Linked DNA regions of Astyanax mexicanus. The protein of the gene in region 3 purifies or fractionates together with the protein of the main gene of each other region. This does not show direct contact. Links are inferred from orthologs where the notes say so. Each region holds a gene or a part of one and is shown on either strand. Other genes may lie near its edges. The genes, in order: pdrg1, polr3h and polr3k.

Region 1 (8,209 bases), on a different chromosome or scaffold from region 3:
TATAAAATTGTTCACCATATTGCCCAACTCTATGATATACTTCATATTTTTATATACTTGATAAGTTAAGGGCATCTTGTACAGTAAAGAGTCATTAATGACTGATGTTAAAGAAAGTCCTATTGAAATTCTTATATTAAAGAAAATAAGCAAGATGGCATGTTACCTTAATAATGAATGCTTATTTTACAATAATATTCTACTGTAAAACAGCACAAATCTTTTCCATACCTTGTAAGTCATTGAGATGATTTACTTTCGCTTTTAGACGTTTCCTGAGGTCAGTTATCTCTTGGTCAAGCTGTTCCTGATCTGAAGAGGAGTAAATAAAGTGTAAATAAAGCTGTTCATGTAACAGGGCATGGCTTCAACATACAAAACACTGAACTTGCCTTTCTGCATCATGGCTTGAGCATTCTCCTTGGGGAATTTTATGAACATGTTTCCAAAGCAGACTTTTACTTTATCTGTGGACAAATAGAAATGAAAGCATGGACAGATATGAAAAGATGGCACAAGAAAAAATAAAGATTTTACATGACTCTATATTCACTATATGGCAAATTGACTGTAGTGTACAGGTGGGCAATATGGCCATAAAACCTTTCACAATAACGAAAGACACACACCAATATTACTAGGGATGCACTGATATGAGAATACTGGGACAATGCCTAGATCTGATATTACACATGCAAATTCAGATATACACATTTATAACTTACAGAGAGACTGCACAACCCGGTTAAAATGAAAAAAAAAAAAAAAAAATGTAATATTTATTTGCCTTACATTTTAGCTTTCAACCAATTGTATTCAAACAATAAAATGAAAGGTTTTTGCTGAGAAGTTAGTTTTCACATTGTTTTATCAGTGTCGCCCAATTGTAGTAAAGCAGGCAGCTTTGCTCTGCCCTTAACCAGCATGCAATAAATACAGCAGCAAATTTTAAGTTGAAATATCTGACAAATCTAGACCATTTTTGAATATTCAAAAACTTTGATGTCATTGTGCATCTCTAAAAATTATGTGTACAGACTCTACATTAAGCATTACAGTTTATGTTAAGTTTTACAAAACTTGAATTACTATATTAAAATAAATTAATTTAGGTTTTACATTTGGTCAAAGTCTGCAGATACCCCATCATTAACACTGACTGAGACACCTGTTCATCAAGTTGCATCCACAAGTCTACAAACCTTTGAACATACAGTATAATGCATTATCCCATTTGAACATGTATTTATATACAATAATTATTAACGTACCACTGTCAGCACTATTTCGGAGAGCATTCATCGCTTCTCGATTTCTGTTCCTTCTTGCGTCAAGGTCTACAATCTGCATTGAGATAATGTTAGGTTAAATGTAACTCACTTCTTTTCAGATTTCTTTTCATACTTGTATTAACTACACGTTTAAAAAAAAAAAAAACACTAAACCACAACTTATAATACCAAATGTGGGAATGATTTATGTTGCTGCAACTGACTTTGTCTGAAATAAAGAGTTTTCCCTTGAACAGGGTTTTATTAGGTACAGCTGCTAGAGTTCCAGTGATTTGAGGACATTTTCTTTTACATAAGAGGAAACAATAATAAAGAACAATACCATAATAGTTTGCCTTAATTATTACTTTAAGTAACAGTGGGATATTCTTGATTGATGATCAACTGTTGGGGATATTTGCTCCCTTCACAGAAACACAGTGAGCTTGAGGAAATTCTTTAAAAAGAAGCAGAAAGTATGTGAACATTTCTTTACAGGACAAGACAGTTTTTTTTTCCAGTGGAAATGTTAGTGCAGTTAGCTGGCTAGCCAATATTATGAGATCTATCAGCTATCTTAATGTTGGCTATCATTTCATCCAAATTCAATTAAGACATAAAATGTATTTTTTATTTTAGGCAGTACTGTACTGTAATGCCAAGAATGAGGCCAAGTTCACTCTGACAATATTGACTGACTTTGTTGTTTTCTGAAATTGCAGTGATCCAGAATACATAAAAGTTGTCAGCAGAGGGAAGCATGAAGTGCTGTAAGATTTTGTGGGAAAACACTGCACTGACTTTAGACTTGATAATAAAACACAGTGGATCAACACCAGCAGATGACATGTCTCTCCAAGCCATCACTGATTGGTGGAAACTTCACACTAGACCTCGAGCAGTTTGGACTGTGTGTCTTTCCACTCTTCCTCCAGACTCTGGTCTCTTAATTTACAAATAAAATGTAAAATGTACTGATGATCAGTGATGGTTTGGAGAGACATGTCATCTGCTGGTGTTGATCCACTGTGTTTTTTGTTGCGACGCATCAGAGCGAGAGTCTATAAAAGGGGGACAGAGTCCACTGCAAATCACTTATCGTTTATCAGGACTATACTAATGAGCGATAGTGAAGGAGAGCAGGGACCAAGCTTATTTTCTGTATATTTAGGAGAGGAAGATCAGCTCTTTTCTACAACTTTGTGGTAAAGGCATTTCCGGTCCCATGGTGTAATGGTTAATCACTCTGGACTTTGACTCCAGCGATCCGAGTTCGAATCTCGGTGGGACCTAATTATACTTTTTAGGCCACACATTAGGAAGACTTATGTGCACAGTAACTATAAGCTATTATTAATTTAATTAATAATAGCTTATAGTTACTGTGCACATTTGTAGTTTTACTTTATTTTAAAGTAGGCTCTAGGCTCTGTTTTTTTTGCTGTGGTTCAGAGGTGATGTGCTTAGTTTTAGCAGCTTTTATATTGTAATAATCAATTGTATACACAGCTGTTAAACAGGAGATTACAGCTCATTCAGAGCAGAGCTGAGCCTGTTGTAGTTCAGCTAACTATCCCTGTAGCCTAGCTAAGCTAACCTACACATATAGGTGCATTTCGTAAAATTAGAATATCATTGAAAAATTACTTTGAGTAATTCAGTTCAACATATAAAACTCATGTATTATATATACAGTATATGTATGTATATATATATATTACACACAGAGTGATCTATTTTAAAAGTTTAGTTCTTTTATTGTTGACGTTATGATTATAGACTATAATCATAACGTCAACAATAAAAGAACTAAACTTTTAAAATAGATCACTCTGTGTGTAATATATATATATATATATACATACATATACTGTATATATAATACATGAGTTTTATATGTTGAACTGAATTACTCAAATAAAGTAATTTTTCAATGATATTCTAATTTTACGAAATGCACCTATATGTGTTGGTTAGCTTAGCTAGGCTACAGGGATAGTTAGCTGAACTACAACAGGCTCAGCTCCGCTCTGAATGAGCTGTAATCTGATGTTTAACAGCTGTTATTAATCTAGTTACCTGCTGTTTATCAGCGAGCACGTCTTCAGCTGCCACTTCTACCTCCATCAGATACTCCATCACCCTGCTGGAGTCCATCTCCCTCCTACAGCAGCAGCAGCACAGCTCCTCACACAGCGAGTAATTATACAAAATAAGTCCCCCAGTCTGGGGAAACAAGGACCGCGCGATAATCAGTTCCGCCCAGTTTCAAAATTAAAAATCAGTAACTACTGACACACAATCATGCCTAAAATACTTTTTACACCCTGAATTACCTTTTCATATTAATAGTTGAACTTTAATGCACACAGACACACAGAGATTGGTACTATCAGAGCCGGTTTATGAAAAGCCTGCCCACTCCCTATCGGTCCCATTATATCAAATTATAATTATAATTAATTATAATTATATAATTATAATTATAATTATATTTATAAATTATAAATTATAACATTATAACTGCACACTAGAGAGAGCCCGCGAGCGAGACCTAAATGAATAGGAGTGAATGGAGCTAAACGGCTAAATACACTAATTAAAAACTTTAGTAACTAAGATTTTTATATCTACTAAGCAAGGATCATCCTTTAATTTTGAAACAAAAATAATGAATTCCCATACGGAGGAAGAAATACAGAAATAAATAAGTGAATAAATAAATGAGAAAACGATTTATAAATATATGTAACAGACGTTAAAAATACACATATAGAAATATATTAAAAACAATAATACAGAAATTATTTGAAAGAGGAAAATATACATTCTCATCACAGTTTACATGGTTAGTTACCTTTCTTTTAGAAAAATCTCCGTATATCCAGATTAGTTTTAACGACAGCTGCTCCGACTAGCTGCCTGAACTCACAGCGAGGGGAGGGGCGGGGCTTCCCCCACACTAAACAGCTCTCCGCAAAACCAGCAAGCTGATTGGCTGTTTCTCCTGAAAGGCGGGACTTTCTCCTTGAACCGGCACCACGATTGGTTAAGAGACACACAGCGGTCAGTGCATTGTCGCCTGTGGCCTATATATTTTTTTATTTAGTATAATACGGGAAATTTACGGGAAAATACTAATACGGGAGGAGAGGAGTAAAATACGGTAGTTTCCCGGCCAAAACGGGAGACTTGACAGGTATGACTTATACATTTCCATTTTTCTACAGAAAACAGTTTTTTATTTATTTACTGATATTTTACCACAACAGGGTAAATTAATATAAGAAATAATACAATTATCAAAATTACTATGATTATTTGTTAAACTTAAACGGCGCCCGCTTTGACCGGTGTTGGTCGGTCCGAGCTAATGTTGGCAAGGCCATGAACTCACAAGTTGACGTAGACAGCTTTTCCTGATCGACTCATTTTTCTGAGGATTTTCTTTTACTAGCTACTGCGGACAATGGAGGCTGAGAAACAGTTTTATATGAGACATACAACTCAGAGAGCAATAGGAAAAAGTGGATTTTAGCGGAAGGAGACCTTTATTTCTAGATTAAAAACATTGTATTCTAATGTTTCTCTCTCTGGATGACAGGCTTTTAATCATTATAGTTTTTGTGTCCTTTTTCCTAACATTTTTATAATTGTAACAAGTAACGATGCAGCACATAGAAAATGTATAACAGTAAAAATATAAAACTCATACAAAATATGTATTGAAGTAAAAGTGGAAGTAGGAGAAAAAAATAATACTCTACAGGTACAGCATTTTAATACTTAAGTACAGTAGTGGAGTAAAAAGAATACTCCAGTAGATACAGATCCAGTATTTTAGTAGAGAAGTAAAAATAATACTTCATTAGATACGGCATTTTAGTATCTAAGTACAGTAGTGAAGTACTTCTCTGGTTTTAAGGTACACAAAAATTCAAAGTGTCACTCGGGCCTCCAAATTCCCCAGCTCTCAAAGCAATCCACTGTGGGATGTGCTGAAACAAAACGTTTGATCCGCAGAGGCTCCACCTTGCAACTTACAGGACTTAAAGGCTCTGCTGCTACCGTCTTGGTGCCAAATACCTCAGACAACTTTCAGAGGTCTTGTAGAGTCCAGAGCTGGTTAGAGTTGTTTTTCAGTGATATGTGGAAGACCTACAGAAGTTCACTGGTGTATTCTTTAAATCCACAGAACAAATATCAAACCTTCCAAATATTAGTCACACTATCAGGCCTCACGTCGAGTAATAACACAATATAAAACATTTTTTCTTCCCGAGTTCTGTTATATTTCAACTGCTTACATATAAACTCAATAAAAAACACCAACATTCCTCATGAACTTTGATTTTATGACAGTAGCCTATGCTAGTTTTATATTTATTGGGATAAAATACAAGAATTGGACTTGTGCTTTATCATAGAAACAATCAACATTTCACTACAAAAATACACAATTATTATAAAACTTGATCAATGCTGCGTATAATAGCTCAAAAATGAATATATGTTCTATATGCAGACTGTACTGCAGATCACTTTCTCGGCCCGTTCTTTCTGTAATAATGTGCACTACTATGCAATGCAACAGTATGCCTTGCAAGATAACAATAAACATTCAGAAGTGTGTTGTCTTCACAGATTTATGACTAAACTGCAAATTACTTTCACGTATTAGTCCATAAACTACCCTCCATCATGTTCTCCTTATACTGTCCTTAGTAACGGCATTCAGAGAAAAAGAAAATGTCCATAAAACACTGCAACTACAGATTAAACAGTTGGTAATGTAGTGCTAATTGTAATTTTTTTTACAAGGAAAATACTTAAATTTTTGTGTTTCTTTGGTCGCTTGTGTTGCCATCTTCCTAATGCTTCCTTAAATGTGCCTCTAAAAATTTCATAACTAAATAAATAAGTGGTAGGGCCAAGGGGCGATATAGGACAGGGCCAAAGGCTATATTTCGTGAATATTCTTAATAATAAATACATTTAAAATCTCATTGTGCTGACCACAAAAGCAAGTTTATGGGGAATAATACCTTATTTCTATTCACTTGAGGCACAAACAACAACAACAAACATCTGGGAAGAAAACATATATGCAAAATTGTTACGTAGTGTAATTCACACTGCCTTGCCATGAGCACAATGTCTAGTGTTCAACATCACTCACAAAATAAAACTTTTACAGGTTTGGGAGTTCCCAAGCCATCCCCTGAGGTAACGCTACATGATTAACTTTATGAACATAGTGCTATCCCATGTCTTTTGGCAATTTGTTGTATTTGTATTTTTTTGTTAATTGTACAACAAAGCACAACGTTTTTGAAAAATACACAAAACACCTCAAACAAGCATTTTTTTTACTTAACAAGAAGTCATAGTCAAGAATAACAAACAGCAATAGAAAATGACACACATTTACATTCCTCAGTGTGCTGAAATACAGTGTGCTGTGATGAAGACTAATTTTGTGAGGTACTGTTATCATCTGCTGTAAAACTGGAATGCTTCAGTCCCAATTTCTGATCGTGGCAGTCTTGGGTCAGTCATGTAACAGAGGAAGTTGAATTATTAATATTGCCAAAAATAATCTGTTTCCAAGCTGCACTTCAACTTATTATATCTCCTAGAAAAATACACATTCATCTTAAACATAAGTGAATTACACTAAAACATCAGTATCATTAAATAATAACTGTAACATTAACATAACTAGCAATGATAAAGGAAGAGAAACATGCTCTGGCTGTTTGTTCACAAAACAAAATAACCAAAAAAATACAAGCAACATACAGCAGTGCTTGAAAGTTTGTGAATCCTTTAGAATTTACTATATTTTAAAATAAATATGAGCCAAAACATCACAAGATTTTTACATAAGTCCAATAAGAAGATAAACCGACCCCAGTTAAACAAAGGAGAAAAAAAATCCATGGTCATTTATTTATTTAAAATATATACATATATATACATATTTGTGAGTGGTAAAAGTATGTGAACCTCTAGGATTAGCAGTTAGTTTGAAGGTGAAATTCAAATTAGAATCAGGGTTTTTCAATCAATGGGACGACAATCAGGTGTGAGTGGGCAGAGCCTGTTTTATTCAAAGAACAGGGATCTATCAAAGTCTGCTCTTCACAACACATGTTTTTGGAAGTATATCATGGCATGAATAAAGGAGATTTCTGAGCACCTCAAAAGATAAGTTGTTCATGTCCATCAGGCTGGAAAAGGTGGAGTTTGGACCCTCCTCAGGAGAACACTGAACAACAATAGAGTGCATGTCAGTGTTTCGAGGAGAAAGCCACTGTTCCCCAAAAAGAACATTGCTGCTTATCTGTAGTTTGCTAAAGATCACATGGACAAGCCAAAAGACTATTGGAGCAATATTTTGTGGACGGTTGAAACCAAAAATAGATCTTTTTGGTTTAAATGAAAATCTGTGAAACATGGTGGTGGTAGTAACATGGTTTTAGACAGCTGGCCTTCATTGATGGAACAATGAATTCTGAATTATATTAGAAAATTCTTAAGGGAGATGTCAGGACATCTGTCTATGACCTGAATCTTAGGGTGTACTCACACTAGGCAATCCGAACCGTGCCCGGGCACGGTTACCTCCCAAAGCACGGTTCGTTTGGCTAGTGTGATCGCTCCGAACCGTGCCCGGGCCCGCTTGAAGAGGTGGGCCCGAGCACGGTTCACTTGGACCCGGATCAAGATGACGTCAGTGATGCGATGCTACTGTAAACGGAGGACGTTTTATACACAATTCTGCATATAATATTTTTGAAAAGGGTTCTAAAGAGCACCATAATGGTTAGTGTTACCCATAATAAATTAGGACTACTATCTACAAGTCCTAAACAACAAACACATTTTATTATTACTTGAGTTTTATGTTTCGCTCCTTTGGTCACTATTTATGT
Region 2 (8,209 bases), about 42 Mb from region 3:
CTGCTGAAGTAAAGCTGTACACGAACAGTGAACACACCTGTTATTTATGTATCTGACATCTGATCTCTAATCTACAACCAAATATTTGTCGGAATCGGACTCCATCTCTCTGTTCTGATTTTAATGTTTATTAATTTGTGTTTTGTAGATGGATGTGATTTGAATGCTATCAGAATCTGAACTTTCCTAAATAAATGAAAATAAAATAAATCAGCTAATGAGAATGTGCTTGTTTTGGCTGGATTTGTATTAAAATGCGTACACAGACACACACACCATTGTGAAACTGTAAGTGTGTTAAATCACACCAGTAATGCATGATCAGGTATTGTACATTAATCTAACTGTTTGAATGCATGTAAACACACTCTGTATTAAACATTAAATTGTTTTAGATTTGCTGTTCTCTGAGTTACAGATACACTTTTACACTACATGGAAAAAAAGTAATGGGACACTTGCTACTTTACTGTTTCTTCTGAAATGAATGGAATTTAAAAAAAAAAAAGTGTATCCTGCTTTTGTTTGAGTTAGTGTCTCTACTGTCCAACAAAGACTTTCTACTAGATTTTAGATTTTGGAGCATTGTTTTGAGGATGTGATTGCATGAAGTGACAATAGCTTTAGCCTTTATCTAATAGCTTTAGCCTTCTATTTATTAAATAGAAGGGTTGTCCACAAATGTCTGGAAATAAAGAGTAACTAAAGCTCAAAGTCACGTATTGTCAATAGATATGTAATAGAAAAATCCTGTGGTTCTTTAGGCTTAAGTGGGGGAAGGGAGTTATGATGCATGACAGATGTACAGAGGGCATGAGCATATTACGTAATCATACACTCACTCTGTAATGCCTGTGTGAAGTTCTGGCTTTATGGGTTGTTTATCACATGTAACCATGTAGGTGTTCAAAGAGATCCCAGTCAAAAGTCACTTACTAATCAATACAGAGACACTACTTAAAATGATTACTATTGATGAAAATTAATATTAGATTGTTGACTGCTAGACATGGCTCTGACATACTCAAAAACATTGTGCCCAGTTGGCAGACTGTAAAAAATGCATCGTTGGAATGAGGGAATTAGGGGGGTTTTGATGAATTGCCTGCCATATAGGTCAACTGCCACCCACCATCCTCTTCGTTTTCAGTGGTGTCATGAAGAAGAACCCTGGACTGCTACAGACTGGAAACATATCGTCTTCAGGTTGGGATCTGATGATAGTCAGGTTTGAGTATGAAGGTCTTGTGGTATGACAGGTCTTTGCGTATGACAGTTGGTCACTGCTAGAAGTGATCTGAGGGACACTAACAGCTCAGAGATACATGCACGACACCCTGTAGACAGGTGTGATAGCATGGCTAATAGCAGGGCTTCCAACTGGCATTCAGTTCAGTATTAATGGGAGCGGCTGGGACGCAGCTTCAGCAACCAACAAGTGTAGAGCAGGATCTACTGCAACAACTGCAACGTATGTGGGTAAATATGCTGCAGGATGCCACACAAAACATGTACACCACCATGTCCAATCGCATCTCATCTTGTATTCAGGCTAGAGGCTCCTTTAAATTACAGCATTTTTTCTCAATAAATGTATTAATCCTTTTATATTAGAATCACTCTAATATTACTATGGGTGTAATTTATGTTTTGAATATTTATGTTTATTCTTTTTTTTTTAGCTTTCTGCCCCAAAGTTATAAATGCTGGCATATTTAAATTCAGTCATGTTTCACTGATTCTTGAGATATGGGACAAAATGTGGCTTACGTTGAAAAGACTTCTTGGTGTTAAAAATAAAGAAATTAGGGGGTCACGTGACACAAATGGCAGACTAGCAGTTTGGCCAACATGATCCAATAGCCCCTCTGAATATTACAAATAGTTACCACTGCGAACTTGATAACAAGAGGCTAAAAGTAGTATAATAGTATGTTGCAATGCCAGGTGGACAAATGAGGCTTAAACTTGTGTCTAAAAACAGTAATAGAAGCACAGTGGTTACTTTTCCACTAAAGGTTTCAGCTCAGCTATTGATATGGTATAACAACAACAACAATGATAATATTAATAATAATAACAATAACAATAATAATAATAATAATAAGTTTTAGGTGTAGTAATGTTTTTTTTTAATGGAAGACATACAGTATGTGATCAGTGGTGATTTATAAACAGAGTGTATAATAATAATACACTATATTTTTTCTGTTCATATTTTTTACCCTTTCATGACCTGAAAGTGATGGAAAAATATGCAAGAATTCTGTCAGTAATGCACAGAAAAAGAAGAGTCTAATATTCTACTATAAAGTCTATTTAGCAAATAAATCAAATTAATTAAAATATTTATTTATTGTTTATTTATTATATATTTTATTTCCATTGCATTGGAAACCTGTGTGTAATATTTTATATTTCATAATGACCTTTTTTATTTCATAAATCATCCATGAACAGTAAAAAACATGATAAAAAATGTTCTAAATCAAATTAATTAAATTAGTTAAAATTAGCTGTTACTTTGCTGTTACTCAATGGCTCTAGTACTACTGTTTTTCCAGTGCAGTGGACCTAGTTGCTGTTTCATTGGTTTATTAACTTGTTGATTGGATGGTTCATGGTCTATTCTGATGAGCAACAGCTCTCAAATAACGTTATGTGCAACAAAACATTTAAAAATAAAGAAAATCCTGGTGTTCATTGTAATGGATGCAGGTCTGAAAGGGTTAATATCTACGCTGAATACGTCACATGTTTTGCCGTAAACCGTCCAGCCTTGTCGTAAAGCCGGAGCACACGTGAGAGGACAGCGGGAGTTTAGTGTAAAATGAACCGGATTCGGATTAAATCTGTATCAGAACTGAGGCTGTAGAGCAGTGAGGAGTTCACTCAGAGGAGGAAGGTGAGCTTTGTCTGTTTAGCGAGGCTGGAGCTTCGTGCTGCCTCAGGTCCAGCCTGACTTCCTCACTGCAGCTCGATTTAAGGTGGAGCGGATTATTCCAGGCTCAAATTCAGCCTCGTGTCGACCTGTTTATTTACCTGTTTCAGCTCTAGAACTTCAGGCTCACCCTTAAGAAGTGTATTAACCATAGTAAATAAAGTTATGACACGTTTAACAATATTTAAATAAAAATAAAGAAATAATAAAGAAAAACTCAATCTAGCGCTTCTCCGGCATCTTCCAGCATATCTGACCTGTTTAAATCAGCTGTGTTATTAATCAGCTGTATTATTAATCTGCTGTGTTATTAAACAGCTGTATTATTAATCTGCTGTGTTATTAAACAGCTGTGCTAAAGAGTTATGTTTTTATCAGCTGTGTTATTAATCAGCTGTTATTAATCAGTTGTTTTAATAATCAGTTCTGTAATTAATCTGATCTGTTATTAATTAGCTGTGTTATTAATCAGCTGTATCGTTAATCAGCTCTGTTATTAATTAGCTGAGTTATTGATCAGTTCTGTTTTTATTCACTTGTGTTATTGATCAGTTTTGTTATTAATTATTTCTGTGTTATTAATCAGTTGCATTATTAATCAGGTGTGTTATTATTCATTTCAGGATGTTCGTGGTGGTGGAGATGGTGGACACGGTGCGGATTCCTCCCTGGAACTTCCATCGACAGCTCAACGATGCCATTGCTGAAGAACTCAATAAGAAACTGGCCAACAAGGCAAGACCTCCATCACTATTACAGCTTTGTTCACAACAGGGCATTATGGTCACCTGAATGTTTCTAAACTCATTATCCAGTTTCAGCTCCACTTAGCATAAAGGACACGGTGTAGTTCTTTAAATACAGACTGTAGTCCTGTATCTGTTTCATACTTCATCATGCTCCGTTCCTTACTGGTAAGAGTGTTTAAACATGTTAGTATCACTGCTGGACTTAGGAAAGTCCATCAACAGAACTGTCCTGTGGTTAGTGTCCTGTGAACATTGTGAACCAGTGTTCTGTTTTTAGGTGTCCTGTGGTAAGTGTTCTATGGGCGGCATCATGTGAGCATCGTCTTGTGGAACAGTGTCCTGTGGTTAGTGCCCTGTGAGCATCGTCTTTTGTAACGGTGTTACAGTGAAACATTTAGAATAATTAATGAATTAGGTGTTGAGGTTATTCAAGAAAAAAAAAACTGATTAGATGCAGCACTATTGTAAATAATCATCCAGGAAAGTTTGAGCGGTAGATTTAGCATATATGTAAGGCTCACGTGGTGATTTCTAAGTAAGTTTGGATCTTGATTAAATGAAATGCCGACTGTAATCTAGAATCTAAATGTACATTACCACCTTAGTTTACTGTCTGCACAGTGCTCTGGGCTGCCAGGACTGGAGTCTGACACACACTGGATGAAGCTCGTAGAATAAACTCAAGGGAGAAATGCTGACCTAAAGCAGCTAGACTCTGTTTTAATGATTAAGATTTGATGTTTCAATAACTGTCCGTTTGATGTAGTAATCATGTCTCCTTATTTTAGGTCGTGTATAACGTTGGCTTGTGTATCTGCTTGTATGACATCACCAAACTAGAGGATTCCTACATTTTCCCCGGGGATGGAGCCTCCCACACTAAAGGTATTTTTGGGGGATTTGGAGACCTCTCTGGTCAGAATGTGTAATTACACAAAGCATGGGGAAGAGCACTTTCAGGTTAATGCAGGTTAATAAAACATTGGGCAGACAGCTGTTAGACGGCAGTAGCTGTTTAGAGTTTTTTAGAAAGCCTGTGTTGTTTTATTCAGACTCTCTTTCTGTTTGAAACTGATTCTGCCGTAGATCTTAAATATTTCTGTAATATCAGTGTCTTTGCTTTGTTTATTTGGAACAGTGCATTTTAGATATGTGGTGTTTCACCCGTTCCTGGATGAGATTCTGGTGGGGAAGATCAAATACTGCAGTCAGGAAGGAGTGCACGGTAAAATTACACACCACTACACTTTTACTATCTCTCTCACTCCCTCTCTCTCTCTCTCTCTCTCTCTCTCTCTCTCTCAATAAGGCCTGTATCTGTTTCTTAATCTCTCTGTCATGCTGTTACACCTCTGACACTCAGAAATGTATTCCATATAGTCTCAGCTTTTAGTTTATTAAGTGAGAAAAATGGTGAATTGGTTCCTGTAAGGTTGTCACTCTCAAAAAATGCTAAAAGAACAAGTCAGCTTATCAGTGTACACAGTTTTTATGTTTAAACAAATTCACATCCTTTGTAGAGACACTTTACCCGTTAAAGCCTGAATCATCAAATAACAACAGAAATGTAGAGTTATTTACTGCTTCTGACTTTAAATAATATACTTTACATATTTTACTTGTATTTTATGTAATAGTTGATACATTAGAAATTTATTGCTCACAGCGTTTTACAGAACTTGCAGAACTTTTACAAACATACATAGAACACAGAATCGTTTAACCCTTATACAGTGTCCTATATACAGATTATATAGGATAAAGTATGCTTACTTATTCTATTATATATTTAAGATTTTTCCATTATGTTTTTTTTATTTAGAAATATTATTTAGTTATATTATTAGTTGATATTTAAAATAATTATCATGTGTGCATGTGTGTGTTTCACAGTCAGTCTTGGATTCTTCGATGACATCCTAATCCCACCAGAATCACTACAACAACCTGCTAAATTGTATCCTGCCTGGATAATGTTGATGGTCATGTTGATTATGATTATGATTATTATGATGATGATCATGATGATGATGAAAATTACTGTGTATTGTCAAGAATTTGGGCGAAATATATTATTATACAGGGGATATGGTTCAGTACATTGCAATATGTGATTATTTTAATAAAATATTAGTAAAACTCCCATAGTATTAAAAAAACACTGTTATATTTATAAAACCTGAGTAAAAGAAAAGTTGATTACAACACTGCTATCTAGTGTGCGGGGTTTAAACACAACAGTAAATGAACTACTTCTAACACCAATCTTTGCATTTAAATTAATCATTAATAATATATACTGTTTTTGAAAAGGAATACAGTATTGAAAAACAAAATATCATGATACAATATGAATATTTTCATATGCTCCTAGTGATGGTAATGATGAGGATGTAGAGGATAATGATGTTGATGTGGATGATAATGTTGAGGAAGATGATTATGATGATGTAAAGGGTGATTATGTTTAGGATGAGGATGATAAAGATGTGGAGGATGATGTTGAAGATGAGGGTGATGAAGATGAGAAGGATAATGATGTTGAAGGTGAGGATGATGTGGATGATGAGGATGATGTAGGGGATAATGAAGTTGATGAGTATGATGTCGAGGATGAAGTTTATGTTGAGGATGAGGATAAATATATTGAAATTGAGGATAAAGATGTTGAGAATGAGGATGATTTATGATGATCAGAATGAAGATGTTGAGAAGGAGGATGATGAGAAGCATGATATTGATAATAATGAGGATGGGATAATAATGAGGATGATGACAAGCTTGTTGTAATTGGCTGTGTGTGTGTTCAAGTTCGTGTTCTCCTGTATGGACTGTGTTGGCGTGTATTTCTGTCGTTTTTCTGCTGCGCGAGTGAATGGCAGCACGGGTTCAGTCCTTGTGGTTTGGTCCTTGACCGGTTTTCATAGTGACGAGGCGGAGCAGGTTTGGGTCTGGGAGTATGAGACAGATGAGGGCGCTCACGACCTTTACATGGACCAGGGTGAAGAGATCCGCTTCCGGGTTGTGGACGAGCTCTTCCTGGACACGTCTCCTACCGGACCCACCACTGACCCGGAGGCTCCGGCTAACAGCAGGACCGGTAGTGCCGCACCGCAGCCTGCAGCCCCCGCCGCCGCTGACGACAGCTCAAATAAGAAAGAGTCTCCGTACACATTGATGGTAAAACAAATATTTTTAAATTAAAGATTAGCCATATTGTTTTTGAAACAGTTTCATGTATCATCTTTTGCCATATATTAATTATATGGTGTAGTGTGTAGTTGATGAGAGTGTTTGTATTTCTATGTTTTGCAGGCATCCATCAGTGAGCCGGGGTTAGGTCTTCTGTCCTGGTGGAGTAACTGATAAACGATGTGTGTGTGTGTGTGTGTGTGTGTGTGTGTGTGTGAGAGAGAGAGTAAGAGTGCGCACGCGTAATAAATAATCACAGCTGAGAAGATTTCGACTGAAGAACCTGAAGGAACCTCACTTCTTGAGCTGCAGACTGGACACTGACGTTTCTGTGCTCTCTTCTAGAGCCGCACAGTGTGTACAAAATTCTGATACTGTGATTGGGATATGCCTTTAGATTTTCTTTATACGTGTATATATTAAAAACTGTAATTTGACCTGTTTACTGATTGGTCTGTGTTATTGTGACCAGATTCCCTTTTGTATTAATAAATGAGCAGCTTCAAACATCAGAACCCCCACAGTAACACATCCTGAGCTGTGATTGGTCAGAATGCTCACAACACAGAAAACACCACTGTTATTAAGATGACCTGCCTATTTCAGCCTTGTGTCCTTGTTGTTATAAAGGCCCTGCTGTACTGTCCTGGATCAGTTACACAATGAACTCATCGTTATATACTAGTGCATATCAAAATATTAGAATATCATTGAAAATTCAGTCCAAATATGAAACTTATATATTATATACATGTATTTCTCTTCTTTGGCCATAATCATCAACAATAAAATAAATAAACACTTAAAATAGATCTCTCTGTGTGTAATACATCTACAGTGCCCTCCATAATTATTGGCACCCCTGGTTAAGATGTGTTCTTTAGCTTCTCATAAATTGAGTTTTGTTCAAAATAATATAGGACCACGATGGAAAAAAAGAGTAAAGTCCAACCTTTAACTCAAGTGAATTTATTCAGTAGGAAAAAAATCCCACATTAAGAAATAATTATTTAACATCAAATCATGTGTGCCACAATTATTAGCACCCCTGATGTTAATACTTTGTACAACCCCCTTTTGCCAACAAAACAGCACCTAATCTTCTCCTGTAATGTTTCACAAGATGGGAGAATACAGAAAGAGGGATCTTTGACCATTCCTCTTTGCACATTCTCTCTAAATCATCCAACGACCTGGGTCCTCTCCTCTGCACTCTCCTCTTCAGCTCACCCCACAGGTTTTCAATGGGGTTGAGGTCTGGGGACTGAGATGGCCATGGGAGGAGCTTGATTCTGTGTGCGGTGAACCATTTCTGTGTAGATTTGGC
Region 3 (8,209 bases):
AGCACCCCCTCTCGGAGCGTATTTCTGAATAGTGCTTTTATTAAGAAGACGATGCGTACGTGCTGCCAAGAGGGGGTGCTTTTCATGGCAGGGGAGCAGATTTTGGCACTACTATGGTGCTGAATTCAGCACCCCCGCCAGGAAAAGCACCCTCTCTCGGAGCGTATTTCTAAGTAAAGTTAAAGCGCTTTTATTAAGAAGACGTACGTGCACGCTCTAGAGAGAGGGTGCTTTTCCTAGCGGGGGTATCATCTAGTATGAAGATGATCCCTGCAGAGACTCAAGAGAACTCCAGACAAACTCCAGACCAACTAAACTTTAACTTTAATATATTTACCTTCTACTAAAATACATTCATTTACAATCAGCATATATGCAGCTGAAACACTAGGGAACAGCCTAGTGCAAAATCCCAAATTATATTATCAACATTAACATTTTAATATTTTAACACTATAGTTATTATTAGAGGCCGACCGATCGATCGGCCAGCCGATTTAATCGGCCGATTTTTGTTATTTTTTTATCAATCGGCATCGGACGATTTTCTTATTTGGCCGCGCCGATTTTAATCCGGCACATCTGCGGGCAGCTACTTGGAACGCAGCGCAAGGTTTCAAGAGTGAGCAAGACTTTCAACGGGTAAGGCATCCATTTTTACAATCCAGTGTCCCAAAGTCTATATTTTCTCTCATGATTAGTAATCTGTGATGTTGCTTCATTTACTGAAAAAGAATAGAATTTCAACTGCATCGGTGTTGTAGCATTTCTCTCCAAACGAAACTATGCTTAGCGTTGATGGCAGGAGTGCATTTGGAATGTGCCCTGACTATGCAAGGCAAGCCCTATCTATAAGCTCTAGTATAAAATAACTGACGTCTCTTCTTCAGAAACGAAAATCTAAGTAAATAAAATCAAATTAACACTTTTTCAGTACTTTTTTCAGTATTTAAATTATTTTTAGACGAAATGAAAAAGGGCAGGACTAAAACTGTTTAAGGATATTCGCAGCATCAGCTGCGCTGAAATAATAATTACTGGTTAGTCAGGATTATTAGAGGACTGTACTTCTCCTTATAAGCTTTATTGTAAACGAATTAATAAAACAAATAGTTTCTAAAATTATGGAGTTAAAATAAAACATCTCTTTTTCCTTCGCTACAAACAGACCTTAAATCATGCCGCCTCCTGCTGTTCTGCTGTAAAACTCACCCGTTTAAAGCGGTTTGCGCTGTTAGATATTAAATGAAACGATGAGCAGAATTTTCTGTTTTGTCGGGTTCTACTTTAGAACCCCCTCCAGACTTTTCTGATAAAAGCTCATTTTATCCTGAACCTATAAAGTCCGCGCTCTTCAGCTTTCTCAACTCATTTTCCGCTCACGCACCGAACCACCAGTACAGCTGATGAGACGCGTTTCTCTGGCTAAGGAGCTCATTTGAAGAAGAAAAAAAAACAGATAAAGCTATATTTAAATTACAGCACCTGTCTGTTTTTGCATTATTTATACTTTTATTCTTAATTTAAACGTCACCCATTTTTGTAAAATAATAGCTGCAGCCCTAATGTGAACATTTTATAAAATTGTCCTCCCATGTCCATTCGTTTTAAACTGCATGGAGTTGAAGAAGAAATGAGCTTTGCCGTTTTGGAGTAACTATCTAAAGTTGTCACATTATGGAAGTCTTCTTGCACTCTGTTAAACATATTAAAATGAATAATTAATAGACTAACAGACTGCAACAAGTCATACATTTGTTAATTAGTAGGCCCCTACAGTAAATTTTATATAATAGCCAACATAATATTTCTACTATAAACATGAATATATAGTGTATATAGAACATATGTTATATAATGAATAAAATAAAATGTTATGGATAATACAATCTAAATAAAATTAATATTTTTTTTATTAACATATAGTGATATAGTAACATTAAAGTCACTATAAAATGCTAACCTTATTTTCAATAAATTGTGTGAAGTTTACAACTGTTGTGCCTCCTCTTACTAGTATGATTTTAAGCATGCCAAATTAGTATAATACGATAGCATATCGGCCCTAAAAATCGGCAGGTCACATCGGCCATCGGCTGACTCTGACCACTAATGATCGGTATCGGCATCGGCCTTAGAAAAACCCATATCGGTCGGTCTCTAGTTATTATAGCTTTTAGAAAAATGTGTTTTAGGGAGGGGAGGGGGGTTAGTGCACTATAGGACTCTGTGGGCGTGGCCTAAGCTTTTGTTCTTAATGGTGTGTTAATTTTTTTCTCCTTCCATTACTTTTACTTTTATACTTTAAGTAGTTTTGAAACCAGTACTTTTTTAAACACTTTTACTTAAAGAGTAAAAAGCTTGAGTTTTACTTTTTCAACTTCTACAGAAGTATTTTAAACCCTAGTATCTATACTTCTACCTACAGAGTAATTAATATAAAAATCTTTCTTGTTAAAGAATGATCACAGGTGAATAAACTGTATGTCTTTAATTGACTCTTTATTGAATTAAAAATAATAAATTGCTGTGAAGTAACGGAAAACAATCACATCAACCTCTTTTAAAGCGTTTTTTGGGTCTTCAAAAGGCCTTCAAACCATCTTTTCACTTGGTGGAAAAATAAATAAATCCAGAGAAGTCTCCATCTCAGAGTTTAGCCTCTGTAAATCAGATTTTTTAAAGATACAGGATCCATAAATAGTCAGTCCATACAGATCCACAGCCGGCTCAGTCTCTCCAGCGATGGCCACACTGTGGACTGCAGCACTTGTAGAAGGTGGTCATGGGTTCATCAGCAGATCTGGTCTGAATCTGCATGAAGTACGCTCTCGGGTGCTCACACTTCGGACAGGTTTCTGAAGATTAAAAGACAGGAAAAAGTTATATGATAAAGTTTATTTACTGCAACTTACTTTATTACTGTTCCTGCCCTCAATCTAAATATTTTTATAAATAATTATGTATTAATATTTATCATAAATGTCAGCAATCAGGGTTCCTCAGTGTAGCCCTTTCAGGAGGCATTTGCTAGCACTAGTGGTTAGCCACAAATGCTAATGCTAATGCTGCTGCACCCAGCCTTAGTGGAAATCTGGAAATCTAAGCTTACTGTAAATAAACAGAAACGCTTTAAATATTCTAATAAATAAATAGGTATGAATATTCATCATAAACGTGAGCAATCAGGGTTCCTCAGTGTAGCCCTGTCAGGAGGCATTTGCTAGCGCTAGTGGTTAGCCACAAATGCTAATGCTGCTGCACCAAGCTTTAGTGGAAATCTGGAAATCTAAGCTTACTGTAAATAAACGGAAGCGATTTAAACATTCTGATAAATAAATATATATGAATATTCATCATAAACATGAGCAAACTGGATCAGAATCACAGAGAAATCATTAGAAATTCTAGTAAAATACACATAATATTTAAAATCAAATATACTGTTACTGATACTGTTCACACTGTAAGGCTTAAAATCCTTAACACTTAAAAGTGCTCCTTATGTATGAATTCTATCAGTCAGGTATTAAGGAGCAGTAAAGCCTCTCCGCTGAAGTACAGAGTTATACAGGAGTTTCAGTTTAGTTCTCCAGCAGTATTAGCACTAGCTGCTAACCAAGCTAAGCGCTAGCTCTTTTGTAGTTCAAAGCAGAGTATATCAGTCTGTAGTCAGCGTGTTTGCCGTGTTAAAACGGGCCTACCGGAACACTCAGGGTTCCTCAGTGTAGTGCTGTCGGGCAGCATTTACTAGTGCTAGCTGCTAATGCTAATGCTGCTGCACCCAGCCTTTGTGGAGATCTGGAAATCTAAGCTTACTGTAAATAAACAGAAGCGCTTAACTCACCCAAATTAGACATCATCATAAACATCCAGGCCATATCTTCCATATGTTAATTCTTTATTTAATCATTTATTGATCATCAATATTTACCTGCTGTGGAATCCACGTTCTCCCAGGCAGCAGCTCCCCCGAGAACATCGTCCACCTCCTTCAGTTTGGGGTATTTTCTGTTATTCACCTGAAAGCAACAAATAAAATACAAACATCCACATCAATATGGTAATCAATAAAAAAAGAATATAACACAAACGATATATACACATTTAAATGCAAATGTGAACTTTAATACAAAGCATGCATATAAAACCATAAAGTTTAATCAATGTTGAATCAACATAAAATCAATGTGCACAAACAAATCAGTTCTGATGACGGAGGTCAACCTTTTAGTGATGGAAAAATGAACGTTGATTAAACATTTAAGGGACACTTGCTGTGCATATTGAGAAGAGGACAGATGTCAGCCATACAGACAGTGCAGGTACACAGGTATGTAATAATTTAGCAGTGCAAATTTGAATGGGGTAAAATAATAAAAAAGATAATAAGTTTGAGATACAGTTACAAATCTATTGTATATTATATTTTCAGCTAATCAATTTCAGCTGCATGACAAAGAATATTATATAACCAACTAAACACAAATTACCTTACTTGTTTTTTTCCACTTACTAAATACTGTACTTCTATACACTATACTACTATATACTGTACTATATACTGTATTATTATATACTATTCTACTATACACACTATACTAAATATTGTATTATTATATACTAAACTTCTATGTACTATACTGCTATATATAATTTACTATACTATATACTATACACTATATTACAATATACTCATATACTACACTACTATATACACTATACTACTATATACTGTATTATTATATATTTTACTGCTATATATACTTTACTATATTATATACTATACTACTATATACTGTACTATTACATACTATATTACAATATACTCTTATATACAACACTACTATATACACTATACTAATAAATACTGTGTTATTATTATACATTATACTGCTACATATACACTTTACTATATTATATACTATACTACTATATACTATACTATTACATACTATATTACAATATACTTTTATATACTACACTACTATATACACTATACTACTATATACTGTATTATTATATACTATATTGCTATATATACTATATTATATACTATACTACTATATACTATACTATTATATACTATATTACAATATACTCGTATATACTATACTACTATATACAATACTATAGTACTATTTACTATACAATACACTACATAACATACTATTATATACTATACACTATACTACACTATATACTTTACTATACTATTATATAATATACTATATACTATTTATCAAAACAGTAACTTAACTGCAGGTTGCTAAATCAACACGTGTTTGGGGTAAATTCAGGATTAAATAGGTTAAATTCAGTGATTAGAGAAATGAACAGGATCTAACAATAGAGAATATCCTTATTAAACAGGTTTTATTACTAATATAGAGCTGAATATTAATAATATTAGTAATATATAGATTTACCTTCCTGGTGATGTTGTGAATGTAAGGGCAGGTATTGCAGGCGAACCGGTAACATTTCTGCCCTTCCTCTACTATTAACACATTCCCACAGGCCGGACAGAACAGCAGCATCTCTATATAACTCTATACTAACTCTATATAACTCTATAAATTAGTTTAATGCTCTAATTCCAGCAGAATTGCTGGATATTTCTCACGGTTAGCTCCTCCTGCTATCTGTGCTAACTACAGCAGTGCTCCTCAGTAACGAGTCCGACTGGAAACAACACAGACTAACACACAGTCTGAAAAACAGCACAGATTAAACTACTGTAAAATCATACCAGTTATAGCAGTTTATCAGTATTTAATACAGTTTTAACACGTATTAATACATTATCTTGTTTAAACGTGTTGTTAATCTGTTGTATGATCCAGTTTCTCTGTTCTTTTGGACCCAGGTTCAGATATTATAGCTGCGTGTTGCCGGCCGGCGCTGTAACGCGGGGACACGGTAAGTGCTGTGTTTGTTTGTGCTGCAGTTTATTCTGATTTAATTCACTTATAAAGCGATTTATTAAGGATAATAAAGAAATATAAATCTATTATAGACACCCAGTGAGGCCTGAGTAAAAATAAACACTCATATTTCCTCTCTAACGTGGTTAATTTAGCTCATTTATCTGCTTTTCTCCTCATTTACAAACATTTTGGTCAGTAATCCCAAAATTGCTGTGTATTAAAATATTTTAAATCAGTTGCTGAAGGTGTTTTAACGCTGCAGTTATGATGCAGTGTGAATACAGTGCAGAGAAAAAACTATTTACCCACCTACTTTTGCTTTTCTTTCGTTTTTGCTTTTTTTTGCATATTTAATTTGTACAAACTTTAATATCAGACACATGTGAACTAAAAAAAATGCAAAAAGCAGGTTTTAACCCCTTTTTATGGCATGGTATTGCTTTCAGGCAACAAAACGCTTGCTGTTGACTATTGTATTATCATTTCAGTGTGTTTATTATTATTGTGACTATTTTGTTTTCCTTTTATGACTAAATATATATATATATATATATATATATATATATATATATATATATATATATATATATATATATATATATAATATTTTTATTTATTTCTTTTTTTTTTCTTAACTTGTTAAGTTGCAAGACATAATGTTGCCCTGGGCACCCCTAATAATTTTCATGAATTTCCTTTATAAATCATTGGTTGTTCGGATCAGCAATTTCAGTTAAATATTTCATATAGCAGACAAACAAAGTGATATTTGAAAAGTGAAATAAAGTTTATAGGATTTACAGAAAGTGTGCTCAATAATTATTTAAACTAAATTAGAAAGAAATGCTGATCTGAACAACCAATGATTTATAAAGAAAAAACGTAACCACATTAATCACAAAAAACGTAATGATGAAACTGGCACTCATCAGGACCGCCCAATAAAGAAAGAGCAAGAGAGTCTCAGAAACTACAAGTTAACAGCCCCCCAGATAAGAGCACCTAAATGTTCACAGAGTATTTTGGTGTGATTGACACTTTTAAGTTACTACATGATTCCTTGTGTGTTTTCTTTCTTTAAAAAAATAATTAAAAAAACATTAAATCAGAAGCTGTGTTCAAATTTTGAACTTTGAGACTTTGGTACTGTATTTGTAGAGGTAACAGAAAAATGTAGCCCTAATTCTAGAATGTGCCGTATAATCGTTTATAAAAGCATTTAATAAATAATTATAATCTATAATCTCTAATATTATCTGTTGTGTATTTGCCCACAGGTGACCAGAATCAGATTAGCAATCCCCTTAAAGTATTGACCACAATGGAAGAAGAAGACCTAAAGACAGAACCACAGACAGAAAACATGCTAGAGACTGAAATGATGGAGAAGAGTGCTGAAGACGTTTTAAAAGAGGAAGAGGAAGATGAGGAGGCGCTGCCTCATTCAGAAGTTTTGGACATCTTTGAGGAAGGGCTGGCTATGATGGTGCAGGACCCTCTACTGTGTGATCTGCCTATACAGGTGTGTATAAGGGGACATACAGCTCTGGATAAAATGAAGAGATCACTTCAGTTTCTGAATCAGTTTCTCTGATTTTGCTATTTATAGGTTTATGTTTGAGTAAAATGAACATTGTTGTTTTATTCTATAAACTACAGACAACATTTCTCCCAAATCTGACATTGCAAAGACTGTTATTAGTGTAAAAATCTCTTTATTTTAAAATGTTGTCCGTATTGCTGCCTCCTGGTGTCGCAGTGCTGTTAGCCAATCAGCCGCGATATGTTTGCATGTATGAATATTCATGAGCAAGAGCTGAAATCCTATAGCCTCTCCCCGCCCACTCCTCCACCGGACTAAAGCAGCGTTATACCAGATCAGTGGAGCACTTTTTTATTTTTTTTTTATTTACCCAAAAAACAGCTCTTACATTCATATTAGAGACCACAGACATATTAAAATAAAAAAATAAAAAAAACGATGGAATGAGACCTTTAATGCAATACAGTGCCAAGAAGTTGCAAAACAGTCAGGATTCCAATATGTGTATATTAAAGTCAATGAATAGAATTGCAATGAAAAAATGTCCAGGAGACATTAGTGAGATTCTGGAAAAAATTATCTATTAAGCCACTGGGATTTCAAATTGTATTGTTACATATAATGGTCTATTTACTGAGGTTTGTGAAGCGACACTGTCACATGGACAGATGCACCCGCCACCATGTTTTACAGTATTTAATGTTGTTATAAAAGGACACATAAAGCACTACCTATT

Evidence for each region.
Region 1: the proteins of polr3k (region 3) and pdrg1 purify together in Homo sapiens (affinity purification with mass spectrometry; 3 studies listed by BioGRID and IntAct, with this or other methods). This does not show direct contact. The link is inferred for Astyanax mexicanus from reciprocal best matches to the Homo sapiens genes POLR3K and PDRG1.
Region 2: the proteins of polr3k (region 3) and polr3h purify together in Homo sapiens (affinity purification with mass spectrometry; 3 studies listed by BioGRID and IntAct, with this or other methods). This does not show direct contact. The link is inferred for Astyanax mexicanus from reciprocal best matches to the Homo sapiens genes POLR3K and POLR3H.

Annotation. Positions count from the first base shown.
Region 1 is NC_064431.1:7,231,673-7,239,881, forward strand, and holds the start of pdrg1 (p53 and DNA damage-regulated protein 1), read right to left. Parts: upstream 4,365-8,209; 5' UTR 4,129-4,364; intron 3,498-4,128; 5' UTR 3,429-3,497; coding exon 3,351-3,428; intron 2,564-3,350; exon of another isoform or gene 2,491-2,563; intron 1,345-2,490; coding exon 1,272-1,344; intron 468-1,271; coding exon 393-467; intron 313-392; coding exon 232-312; intron 1-231. UniProt on the Homo sapiens protein: May play a role in chaperone-mediated protein folding.
Region 2 is NC_064410.1:18,952,316-18,960,524, forward strand, and holds polr3h (DNA-directed RNA polymerase III subunit RPC8), read left to right. Parts: upstream 1-2,747; 5' UTR 2,748-2,905; intron 2,906-3,564; 5' UTR 3,565-3,565; coding exon 3,566-3,676; intron 3,677-4,478; coding exon 4,479-4,575; intron 4,576-4,828; coding exon 4,829-4,915; intron 4,916-5,583; coding exon 5,584-5,647; intron 5,648-6,617; coding exon 6,618-6,870; intron 6,871-7,005; coding exon 7,006-7,056; 3' UTR 7,057-7,319; downstream 7,320-8,209.
Region 3 is NC_064410.1:60,608,539-60,616,747, reverse strand, and holds polr3k (DNA-directed RNA polymerase III subunit RPC10), read right to left. Parts: upstream 5,692-8,209; 5' UTR 5,541-5,691; coding exon 5,430-5,540; intron 4,023-5,429; coding exon 3,935-4,022; intron 2,859-3,934; coding exon 2,731-2,858; 3' UTR 2,486-2,730; downstream 1-2,485. Other genes in the region: snrnp25 (U11/U12 small nuclear ribonucleoprotein 25 kDa protein), read left to right, coding at 5,838-5,922, 7,208-7,452. UniProt on the Homo sapiens protein: Core component of RNA polymerase III (Pol III) which synthesizes small non-coding RNAs using the four ribonucleoside triphosphates as substrates. Can mediate Pol I proofreading of the nascent RNA transcript.